Drosophila melanogaster: one gene and its partner. The protein of the gene in region 1 purifies or fractionates together with the protein of each later gene. This does not show direct contact. Each region holds a gene or a part of one and is shown on either strand. Other genes may lie near its edges.

What was found.
Region 2: the proteins of Cks85A (region 1) and Cdk2 purify together in Drosophila melanogaster (affinity purification with western blotting, with the first as the bait; one study listed by BioGRID). This does not show direct contact.

The regions. Positions count from the first base shown.
Region 1 is NT_033777.3:8,714,677-8,720,685, forward strand, and holds Cks85A (Cyclin-dependent kinase subunit 85A), read right to left. Parts: upstream 3,781-6,009; 5' UTR 3,661-3,780; exon of another isoform or gene 3,367-3,660; coding exon of another isoform or gene 3,173-3,366; intron 2,666-3,172; coding exon of another isoform or gene 2,449-2,665; exon of another isoform or gene 2,220-2,448; intron 1,893-2,219; exon of another isoform or gene 1,567-1,892; intron 1,204-1,566; exon of another isoform or gene 1,140-1,203; 5' UTR 1,122-1,139; coding exon 1,063-1,121; intron 993-1,062; coding exon 761-992; 3' UTR 524-760; downstream 1-523. Other genes in the region: CG8112 (uncharacterized protein), read left to right, coding at 1-500; TMEM216 (transmembrane protein 216), read left to right, coding at 2,449-2,665, 3,173-3,366; CG11760 (uncharacterized protein), read left to right, coding at 4,657-4,912, 5,128-5,321.
Region 2 is NT_033777.3:20,733,923-20,739,198, reverse strand, and holds Cdk2 (Cyclin-dependent kinase 2), read right to left. Parts: upstream 3,577-5,276; 5' UTR 3,503-3,576; coding exon 3,375-3,502; intron 3,277-3,374; exon of another isoform or gene 3,187-3,276; intron 3,109-3,186; coding exon 2,913-3,108; intron 2,859-2,912; coding exon 2,748-2,858; intron 2,689-2,747; coding exon 2,527-2,688; intron 2,468-2,526; coding exon 2,270-2,467; intron 2,215-2,269; coding exon 2,065-2,214; 3' UTR 2,015-2,064; exon of another isoform or gene 1,940-2,014; 3' UTR 1,834-1,939; coding exon of another isoform or gene 865-1,833; 3' UTR 785-864; downstream 1-784. UniProt on the Drosophila melanogaster protein: Like Cdk1, could play a key role in the control of the eukaryotic cell cycle.

The DNA of each region.
Region 1 (6,009 bases):
ACCTAATCCTGCACTCGTGGCTGAACTTCACGTCGGAGCTGCTACGCTTCGGTGATCGAATGTTCTACAAGGACTGGTGGACGTCGCACACTTACGATGGCTACTACAGAAACTGGAATGTCGTCGTGCACGACTGGCTGTACGAGTACGTGTACAAGGATATGTACACTCATGTGTTCCGAGGTTCCAAGGTGGCCGCCTCGCTGGCAGTGTTCATGATCTCCGCTGTGGTCCATGAGCAGGTTCTCGGCTTTGCCCTGCAAATGTTCTTCCCAGTGATGTTCTTCTTCTTTGGGGTCGTGGGTGTTGCCTTGGTATTCCTAATGCGGAGTGCTCCAAAAGTGATGGGCAACATCTTTCTGTGGTTCTCTCTGATCCTGGGAAATGCCACGCTGATCTCACTATACGCCATGGAGCATTACGCCCTAAAGAACTGCAACCTAAGCAACGAGAGTTGGACGTATCGCCTGCTGCCGGCGGTATGGCGCTGCTACAATTAGTCAATTAGTTAAACACTACTTTTAAACTGTCTGTACACAGGGCGTACGCTTCGATTTGTATTTTAGGTAAATAAACTTAATGAAATTAACAGAAACGATGTCTTCAGTTCGTTTCGTGTCTTTGAACTTCCCAGCTGAACCCTAAAGCTATGGTTTCTTATTTTACATCAGGCTGCCTGATGCTAACTTATGAAATACTACGTGAGCATTGACGAGTGCGTCCTTGGAAGAGCATTCCTCGGCGGCATGGCATCCTCCGCCTAACCGCAGAGATTCGCGATGGCCTGAGCCGCATTAGCGGCTGCCACCTGTGGAGCGTCCTCTGCCGGAATGCGTTTGCGTCGGAATAGAATCACATGCGGCTCCGGCGCGTGGACCATGTAGTGCACCCAGCCGGGGCTCTGCTGCACGCCCAGGTTGCGCCACTCCGTCTCGGTCATCAGATGAGCCTTCGGCACATGTTTGGCCAAATCCGGTGGCAAGATAACATGCCTGCAGGGAGGGAAAGTGGTTTGTGTGTAAACAAACAGTTCACGGATGCTGAAACGCAAGTTGAACGTACCTGTATTCAAAGTTGTCGTCGAAGTACTTCTCTGAGTATTGAATTTGATCGGCCGGCATTGCGAAAAGCCAGAAAACCTGAGGTAAATTAAGCAATTTTACCAAAATAGGTCAATAAATTCAGATAGATATGCCACAACTGATTCGATTCTAAATACTATTGTTATCGCTGCACGTATCGAACATAAAGTTATCGATTTGGTTATCAGCTGTCCAGTTAACAGCACCTTTGGCGGTAAACTCAAATGTACTGTTTTTAATGGCACGATCTTAGCGGGCTTTAATATATTGAACATAAACTTTTTTCTGTATAACAATATTTTTGCAATGTTTAAAGCCATTTTAAAGCCATTTTGTTAAAAAAACGAGTACTTTGTAAAAAGATGCTGTTAGAAAATGTTAACATATTTAGCGAATGAAAAACTCAATTGGATAATATGTGATTTCCAGTGTGACCGGAACTCGCAGGCTCGCACATTTTCCAAATGCAATCGGCAATTTCTCCGTTACTCGCCCATGGCCACATTTGTGCATGTGCGTTTGAGGTTCCTTTCCTTTTTATATAAGCCCCTCGTCTCTTGCCAACAAACCAACAACAACAACAACCAGCCAGGCCAGCGGGCAACAACAACGCACAACAACGCGTATAAATAAACGTGAACGCATGTACTTAATATTAGCATAGAGTTGTCGCCTGCGTGCATTTCATATACATAACATAACATCCACTTACTCCCATGACAACGGGACTTTAGACAGTAACGGTGGAGCAGCTAGAAGAAGAGGAAAGGCGAAGTAGAACGGGAACAAGAAGAAAAAGCAGTGGAAGAGGTGAGGACGATACGTAAATACAGTCAAACTTCCATAAGTAGATACGACTTTACTACTACAATAAAAAGTGTCCTTTAGTGATGAAGAAAATGGGTTCTAAGAACCTAAAACCTTTATGTATATGTACTCCCTATTGTCGCTTAATGAATTTACCGTTACGGTATGCTAGTAAATAAATGCATACAATGTACATATGTAGATACATAGGCACAGCAAAACCACCTATAAATTCGATTGATTTTATGAAGTTCTAGTTGAGGAAGTTTGACTGTATGTATGCGCGCATTGGTAAATACGAGCAGACCGCAATTAGCAAATATTTTTCAGTCCAGCAGGTATCACTCACCACGTACCGCCCAAAGGTCCCAATGCTGGCGTAGAGAAGCCGAAACACCTGCTGCTGCCAGTGGAAAAGCGGGAGGAGCTGCTCCAAACTGCCCAGGTGACATCCAATCATTTAGAGGCGACGCACCTGCCGCCTTGAGGAACTGGTCGCCACGCAGGAGGACACGGATACGGCAACGGTTACGGACTCGTTTCCGCAGTAGCGGGCACCATGAACGCCAGCCTCATCTATGAGATACTTATGTATCTGAACTCGTTCTACTTTGGCATGTACGCCGCCTTCGAAGTGGGCGTGGGCGTTCTTAAGGCGATTAATCTAAACTACGGCGAGAACGCGTTGTCCCGGGAGGCCAGCATCCTGCTCTCACTGTGCATCATCGAGACCGTGCGCATTGTCTTCGGGCGGAAGAGCAGTCTAAGCGATCGTGGTGAGTAATCCCCATGATCCCCATGTTACTGCAAGGGTGGGAAAAGTCCACCGGCAGCGATGATGACATGGCGAAATTATTTGTTTGCCCGGTCACAATGCCCATTTCATGCCATCCCCCTACCTCCGGGGCCATAACCCATAAACGTTTGGACGGGCATACATACATATATGTATGATGTAGCCCACTCGGCGTATGCGTAATTATGGTCATCACCCCGGATGAAAACACGCGTTTTATGGTGGCAGGGGAAAGGCGCCCTTCTGGCACATTAAGCAATATGCAAAGGAAATCTATCAAAGCGAATCATCGAAATGAGTTATTGGAAAAGCAATTGGAGCTGTTAATATTAATTATCGCAATGTGTAAACATGAAATTATTAGTATAATACTTTAAAACACTGAATCACTTTCAATCGAATACACTTAATTATAAACAAGTAGACGAACTATACGATTTTCCGTGCATCTGTAGCTAACATTTTCCTTGTTTTTCTCTCTTTGCAGGCTGGCAAGCAACCGCATCCGTAATATTAACACTGCCCAGTCTTGCTATTGTTATCTACTTGTGTTGTTTTCAAACCTTTGTTCTCAAACTCGAAATTATTCTGAGTGCCTTAATGATCACCCTACAAGGTGCTGAACTAGTCTACGCCAGCATATTCATTTGTACAATGTGTCGCCCCGTCACATACACCTAGCAGTTGATAAGCCGCGTTGCCGCCGCCACGTCAACGACCAAGATCGAGATCAAGACCAAGCCAGCACTAACACTCCCACCTGGAGGAGAAGGAGTAGAAGCATCCACAGCCGAGCGACGACTACGACGAAGACGAAACACTTTCCTCTGGCAATTTCACATCAAACGATTCGCCAAGGCCTCAAAACTAAGCCACTTAAATGCACACTAAGCCACCGCACATAAAAACAAAACAAAAAATCTAGATCCTACTAGACCTCCTAGGAATCCGTGCCAAGACAACCCGATAACATACCCAATGGCTGGCAGTTGAGGAGGACTTTCAACAAGGTACGTGAACCTTTATAAACTTATATAATCCGCACAGATCATTCGCGCCCGCGGAAATCACATCGCAGCGAAACACGACGCGTCCGATTCTATCAAAAGCAAAGCTGCATTTAATTTGCATTTCTTGGTTGCATTCTTTTGCCCGGCCTTTGTGGCGTTGCCTCCCTGCTGGCGCAGTTGCTCCTCGGACCCGCTCGGTTCTGGTATTTTTATACGGCTCTGATGGTCTAAAATTATATGCGAACTGCACGGCTCGTGCAACACCGCTGCTGTCCCCTAGGTGCAATGTACACTTCTAATTTGAATGTAATATACACGGCCCACTGCGGGCAAGTTAGCCTGACTGTAATGGCCAAGATGAGAGGGCTCTCCGTTTGGTCTTTGGTCTAGTGAACATGCCCTGTACGATTCACAGGAGAGAGATTCACGGGACTTTAGCGAGGCATAACGCTTTGAGTTTTTAAAAATAATTAAAATTCCAACAATGGTTTTCATATATTCACCCTAAACCTATCCTGAATTTCAAGGTAACCATTTAATGGCCCTGGGCCCTGTAGAGCATAACGCCCAGGGAGTTTTTAGTAGTTTTTTCCCCCCAACTAGCCGCCAGTGAAATCATTCTCCCCCACATTTCTAGGCAGGCGATCTGCCGGCCAATGCTGACCCAAACAGCGAGCAGAGAAAACAAATAAAAGGCGACAACGACCAGCAGCACATTATTCAAATAAACAGCACATTTCGCAGCGACAAACCGTGAGACCGCCGATGTCGATGCCGCTGCCGCTGCATTGGCCAAGCACGGCAGGTTCGCGTTATTATTATGGTCAGTCTATAAATACAGTGCCCAACGTGAGCAACGCCGCCGTGTGAGCGATCCGGGAGATCAAATCGGTCCAATTTGCCGTAGACATCGAGGGGTAACAGGAGAAGCAGCAGAAGGAGGTGCTAAGCCGGCAGAAAGATGCCGCCCAAGCGTCCGCCACCGCTCGTGCCGAAGAAGCCAAATCCCAGCATGAACTACGAGGTGTTGATCTACCTCAACTCGTTCTACTTTGGCATGTTCGCCTGTTGCGAGATGGCCATGGGCCTCCTGAAGGCCATCAATCTCAGCTACACGGGACATACTCTAGCCCTGGACACGGGGGTGATGATTAGCTTCATTGTCTTTGAGACGATCCGATTGATAATGGGGCGCATGAGTTCGCTGGCCGATCGAGGTAGAAGCTCCCGCCTGCTGGCTGGTCTAATTATAGGATATTCTAAAACAATAGAATCATCCTCAATGGCGTTATCAATCGTTTAATCAAACCAAACCATTAGACTTAAGAAATACTAATTAACTCATTATCATCCTTATTTATAATTGTAATAGAATAGTATCTATGGCTTTTACAATCAGATTCTAATGAACTCTTCTGCTTTTCTATCACAGGCTGGTCGGCCATACTGTCGGTCTTCATGACCGCCCCCTGCTTTGTGGGCGTCTCCTATCTACTGCTGCTCCAGACCTACCGACTGCGCCTGGAGTACTGCCTGTGCACGCTGCAGATCGCCCTTTACCTGACCGAGGTGTGGTATGCCATCGTCTTCGTTTTCTCGCTGTGTCGTCCAGTAACTTATGATTAGCCATATAGACAGAAACATCCAACAGCCAACTAGCAGCAAATATACATGCGAAAGTTTAGCAATCTATAAGATCGAAAAAGGATAATATGCGGTGTAAGGAAATTTAATGAATTTGAAAAGCAGTAGGCAGCTGAATTGCTCATGGCCGTGGAGAAGAGAAACCAAACAGAAAGAAAAAAAAAACAAAACAAAACACATATGTAGCATATTAATAATTATGTATAGTAAGGTTTATGATAACATACACACACTCTTATATACATATATTTAACGGTTTTATATACAAAAATTGTTAACATTTAAGCATCAATTGGAACCAATATAAGACAACAAGCAAAACCTAAAACTTGAATAATTTTCACAATTTTAAGATGAAAATTTTTTTGTAAAAAGAAAAATATCGAAAAACAGCCGAAAAACAAATTTGATGTGTGGAAATAATAATTTATAATAGTTCACAGATAGCTCGAATCTTAAAAAGAATTGTAAAAAAATCAGTGGAATGTCTCACAAAATCTAGTCAGCATCAAAATCATGAAAAACAAATGGCCGAAAGGCCATTAAAAAAATTCATTACCACTAAGAGTCAGCGTTTAGTAGTTCATACCAATATTCAAAAGGCGGAGAACAACATAATTAAGCCCAGTTAAAAGTCTAGACCATGTGTGTACTTTAATGAAACTACTTT
Region 2 (5,276 bases), about 12 Mb from region 1:
AGCTTAGCATAAAATTTCGAAATCAGAACCCGCCAGCAAACGAGTTTTTCAGTCGCAGCCAAGAACTGAATGGCGTATTAATTGTGTAATCTATAAAAATCCATTTACATATGCATGGGCGAGATTGGCAGCTGCCAACGAGCCCCGCGGGAGATATGAAGATGGTCTCCAAATTGGGTTAGTTGGCTTAGTGTCGGCATGAGTTAGGGCCACCAACATGGCCATAGCTTTGGAAATGATCTGGGGCTCGGGACAATGCCATTACAAATCAATTTGGCTAAGACTGTGGCTAACCGTTCTGTGAACCAATAAAAACTAATCCAACGAGCTGGTCAAAAAGACAAAGGCATCACCGTCGAGCTGTTGACCACTGATTTCGCGATTCGGATGAGTTTCAGTTTCCCTTCGACCGGGAACGGTAACGGACGCATTCGAAATACTATATAGTAAGCCCGACGAACATATTGTATACAGCAATGCAGTGGCAATTGTTTACTGCCCTAGTGCTTTTTGTAGCATGGAGTTGTCCTTCGCAAGGAGTAAGGATATCCGCAAACGAGATGGAGCGACGCTTGCCGCAAAAGCAGGCAAAGATTGGGTGAGCAAACGTTGACGACTAACAATGAAGTTTTGATTTTCGACAGATATGACATTTATATAACCACTTTTTGGTATTTTCTGAACCTTATTTAATCCAATAATTCATAGTAGATTATTATTGCATATTATAGATATCACATAAACAATTCAAACAACTATATGCTTATATAGGATACATTTTTTTATAAAACAATTATATTTGAGTTGAAAAAAGTATAACTATGACATTTTAAAGTTAAACTTTGAACGAAATTTTTATTCTAGCTCCAGAAACTATCCCATCGAGTATGTCCTGTTGCCGAGTGCTCGTGGTGGATACAGAAGGCGCTATATTCATAGTCTGGGAAAAGCAGCTCCTACAACAACTGAACGCCCGTTGGTTCGTGTTTGGAATAGCTTCGTCCGCAGTGTTCAGCCCGCTTTCAGTTTCCGTAACCTGACCAATCCGTTGGCCAACTTCTTTAACGATGGCAGTACGAACATCATCGAGACGTCGCCGGTTTATCTGCAGTCCTACGATGAAGATCAGGAGCTGCAGCTTGAGGAACCAGCTCAAGTGGCCTCACAGGCTACCAAAAAACGCAAGCGAAAGCGCCGCAAGCAACAAAAGCGCCGACCGAGCTACGACTCGGCGGAGAACGATGATGCCTACAGCCCTTACGATCCCTACTTTGTGCCACCTTCTCCGCCGCGGTCCGCCGAGCCGATGTTCTTCTACGACACCAATTCCGGTAGCTACTACGGAGTACAGCGCTTCAGTCCTCAGGATTTCCAATCTAATTTTTACGGCAGCTTTTTATTCCGCCGCCTAGGGAGGCAGAGGATGTGGAAGGCGAGCATGAGGAAGAGGCGCCCGTAATGAGAAGACTCGGAACCAGAAAGGTGACCCTACTTCGACCACTGCCCCTATTGTCGGCCAAGGGCCAATCATTGACGAAGCTATTAGAAGTCAGCAAACCGGAGCATCCCATTGAGAATGAAGATGCAGCAGAGGAAACAGACAGCAGCGCACCGAGCGATGCACCGACTAGCGATGACGACGATGGTGATGTCGAAGCCCATTCACCGCTCTCCGAGAGCATGCGCAATACTCTTGGCACGTATATGCGCGACGATAGCCACACCCGCCAGCGCCAGAGACTCGCTAGCGATGCAGCAGGGGCTAACGATTCCGCCGCCAAAGTTTCGCCACGCCATCATCAACGACACCTTGCCCGGCTGAGCTCCTGGTAATCCATGCTAAGCTATAAACTATAAACTCTTTACTTATGGATGATCGTGTATTTATCGTATGTTACGTGCGAGTTAGGATGGGGAATGCATGATAATGAGGTGGCAGCTGTAAAATAGATTAGATATTCAAATAATTTTACTAGTTTCGCCTTAAAGATAGTGAGATAGACATCGAACTTACTATACTAGAAAACACAAGTAATTTGCTAGATCTGGGGCTATTGGACACGATCAGACGAGCCGCGTTAGACGCGAAGCGCTGCCGGCATTGGGATCTACAGGCAGGGCTACATGGTCAACATGCTGCACATTGCGGAAGTAAGCGTGCTGCAGTGCGTCCTTGGCTGAGATGCGCAGGTTGGGATCATAGCACAGCATTGACTGTAAGGTACAGAGTAGTGGATTTCCATTGGGGATGTACATTTTCTGCACTCACCATTATGAGTTCGTGCGCCTCGTGTTCGGTTATGGGTTGTGGCATGTTAGTTCCCTCCCATCTAGGGAACTTGGTCTTAAAGTCTGGCAGCTGCGTCACACCAGGCCAATTTGTTTCATCAGGTGTGCTTAAGGTACGGAAAATCCTATAAAGTTGATCGATCTCGCTGTCTCCAGGAAACAAGGAGCGGCGCATAATCTGTAATTCTAGGTTTAGTAATCAGATCCGCTTGGAATGTACATTCCATATAACACTACCATTTCAGAGAAAATGCAGCCTAGACTCCAGATGTCCACGCCCGTGGAGTAGAATTTCGTGCCCAACAGAATCTCTGGAGCTCGGTACCAGAGGGTGACGACTTCGTGTGTGTACGCCCGCATAGGCACGTTGAAGGCCCTTGCTAGGCCAAAGTCAGCCAACTGGAGTTGGAATTCGTTATTATCACAGAACCAACAGCGGGTAAAACCTTTAGTCTCACCTTTATTTTGCCCGCCGTGTCTACGAGAAGGTTCTGGGGCTTGAGATCGCGATGCAGGATACGATTCGTGTGGCAAAAGCCGACGGCATCTAATATCTGATGCATATAGCTCTGCAAAGTGGCAATGTGAAAATATTTTAATGGGCTGCAAACTAGTGTACTTACCTTTATCAACTGAGGGGTGAACACGTCTTTTTTCTTATCCATCAGCTTCTTTAGATCCATGTTCAGGTACTCGAATATCATGTACAGATTGTTGCCGGAAATGACTACGTCAAATAGTTGGACCACATTTGGGTGCTTAAGGTTCTTCAGCAGGGAGATCTCTCGAATGGCCGTCGAAGGAACACCCTCCGTTTCGCTGTGAATCGGAATTATGCTATTAAATAAAGCTAAATACTGGCAATCGTGATTACCCGTTTGCTAGCAAAAACCGATGATATCCTGTACCACGAAGCCGAATCATGTGGTGCTACGGATTACGGAAACGGCGCAGCTCCCACATAATTCGGGCTGCGGGGTGCAGGTGGATGACATTCGTCAAGGATAATATGTCCATATGTCACATAATATTTCCTATGGTTGCCATGAACAGCATCACAGTCCTGCTCCACCTGGATTACGCACCCTTCTAGCCGAATCTTTTTGAGGGCCACATCCTGGCCGGTGGAGTTGCTACGCGCTTTGTAAACTATACCGTAGGTGCCCTCGCCAATCTTTTCGGCGCGTTGAAAGTTATCTAGAATGGTGGTCATAACCTCGTAAACAATCCTTGAGATCGATGTTGGCAAAATAAACTAATATTTTGGAGGGAAATTCTTCTTCTTTGGTGATGCTAGCCATTCTCATGCAACCGCCGATAAGTCGCACAGCAGCGCCACATATCGATAAGAATTCCTTAATCGATTGTTCTGCGATGTGACAGCTCTAAGGTTGACTACCCCTATTTTAAATGTATTGTTTTCTTCTTTGCACAAAACTTTTAAAATAAAAAATAAAATTAACCGTTGAGACCCGTTAATGCCTATCACAGTTGGATCAAGACATTTAAAATTGATAAATAAAGTTAAAGCAAAAATCGTATTTATGCAGTTTCTTAATGGTTTCTAAATTTACTCTTTTAACTAATTAAATATATGTTTTTAATGAAATGTGACGTTCGTTTAATACGTTGATTCTCGCCTCTATCCAATTAATGTAGGGTGCGATGTACATGAAAAGATCTGCTCCTGAAAAAACCGAATCAAATTTGGCCAAGAGCTGCCGGATAATATAGTACTGTCTCGGTTCCCCATTTACTAGGCGAACTCCTGCCAGGATAGCGTCTGGATGCAAAGGAGCTCCGCGGATGGTCCTTCCAAAGACACTAGAATAAGGGTCTTTGGTCCTTCCATCCACGCAGAGAGCTGGCGCTAGGCCACGACGCGGATTGAGCAGTACGACGGTGCAGCGATAGCAGGTGGTAAATTGATTTCCATCCCTGAAGAGTATACGTCCCAGCCAAGGATGCTCATCCTGTTCCGCGAATGTTTTGTCGTTGTAAAGCTGATTTTCCAACGGTCTTCCACAGCGCTGAACTTCAGTGATTATACCAGTGGCTTATAAGTATAAATAAAGAAAATTGGTAGATAAGCATAATAAAGTAATTGGGTTACATCACTTACGCATAACCAGTATAACCAGTAGAACCTCGCTTACTGTCATCTCGCTCACAACAAAGTATTTTCCGATCGAGGAAATCACAATGATTTTGCACACTGAGAACAATAACCTCTTGCAGATAAAGTGTGAAGGTGTTTCTTATTGTCGCAATGCAATCTACTTTTCCAACAGGTATTTAGTTAAGTATGTACATACAATATGTGTGAAGAGGACTCTTTAACTTTGAATGAAACTTTGTTCTGAATTTAATGATTAGTAAATGCCATTTATCTACTATTTTCAATCATTTTTACATTTCTTCCGGACACTTAGTTATAGACTAAGATGGTTCCCAATCCAATTATTGGTATCTTGTGGTTTCTTTCGTACTGGCCGTGCGTTGATATTCACAAAAGATGCCAAGCTTCAGATCCATCTACAATTTTCATCCCAAATAGAGCTGCACCAGTTAGGAAATCTTTATCCTGGTGTACGCACGCACTCGTGACTCTGGCCAGGGTATGAAGGCTTTTCGGATGCTTATCCACCAGCGTACTGACCACATTGAATAGTCGGGCGATCACGTCATGGGAATCTGTATCCTCCGATACAGACAAACAGGATCTCAGTTGGGAGTTCAGTTTAAGGACGGCAACATCGTAAGACGGAACGATACTCTGGGTGAATAAAAAAGGCGACTTCTGTTTCCAAACATAAAGCTGTAGGCATCGCCCTTATCCAGGAATATAACACAGTGAGCAGGCACAAGGACATGGTTACGGCCACTCCGGAGCAGGGATACCACACCCAACCAGCTGACCTGGTGTACCTAATCCTGCCCAGCCAGTTGAATTGCTCTCGACTATCTTCTCGGTTTACTGGTCTTGC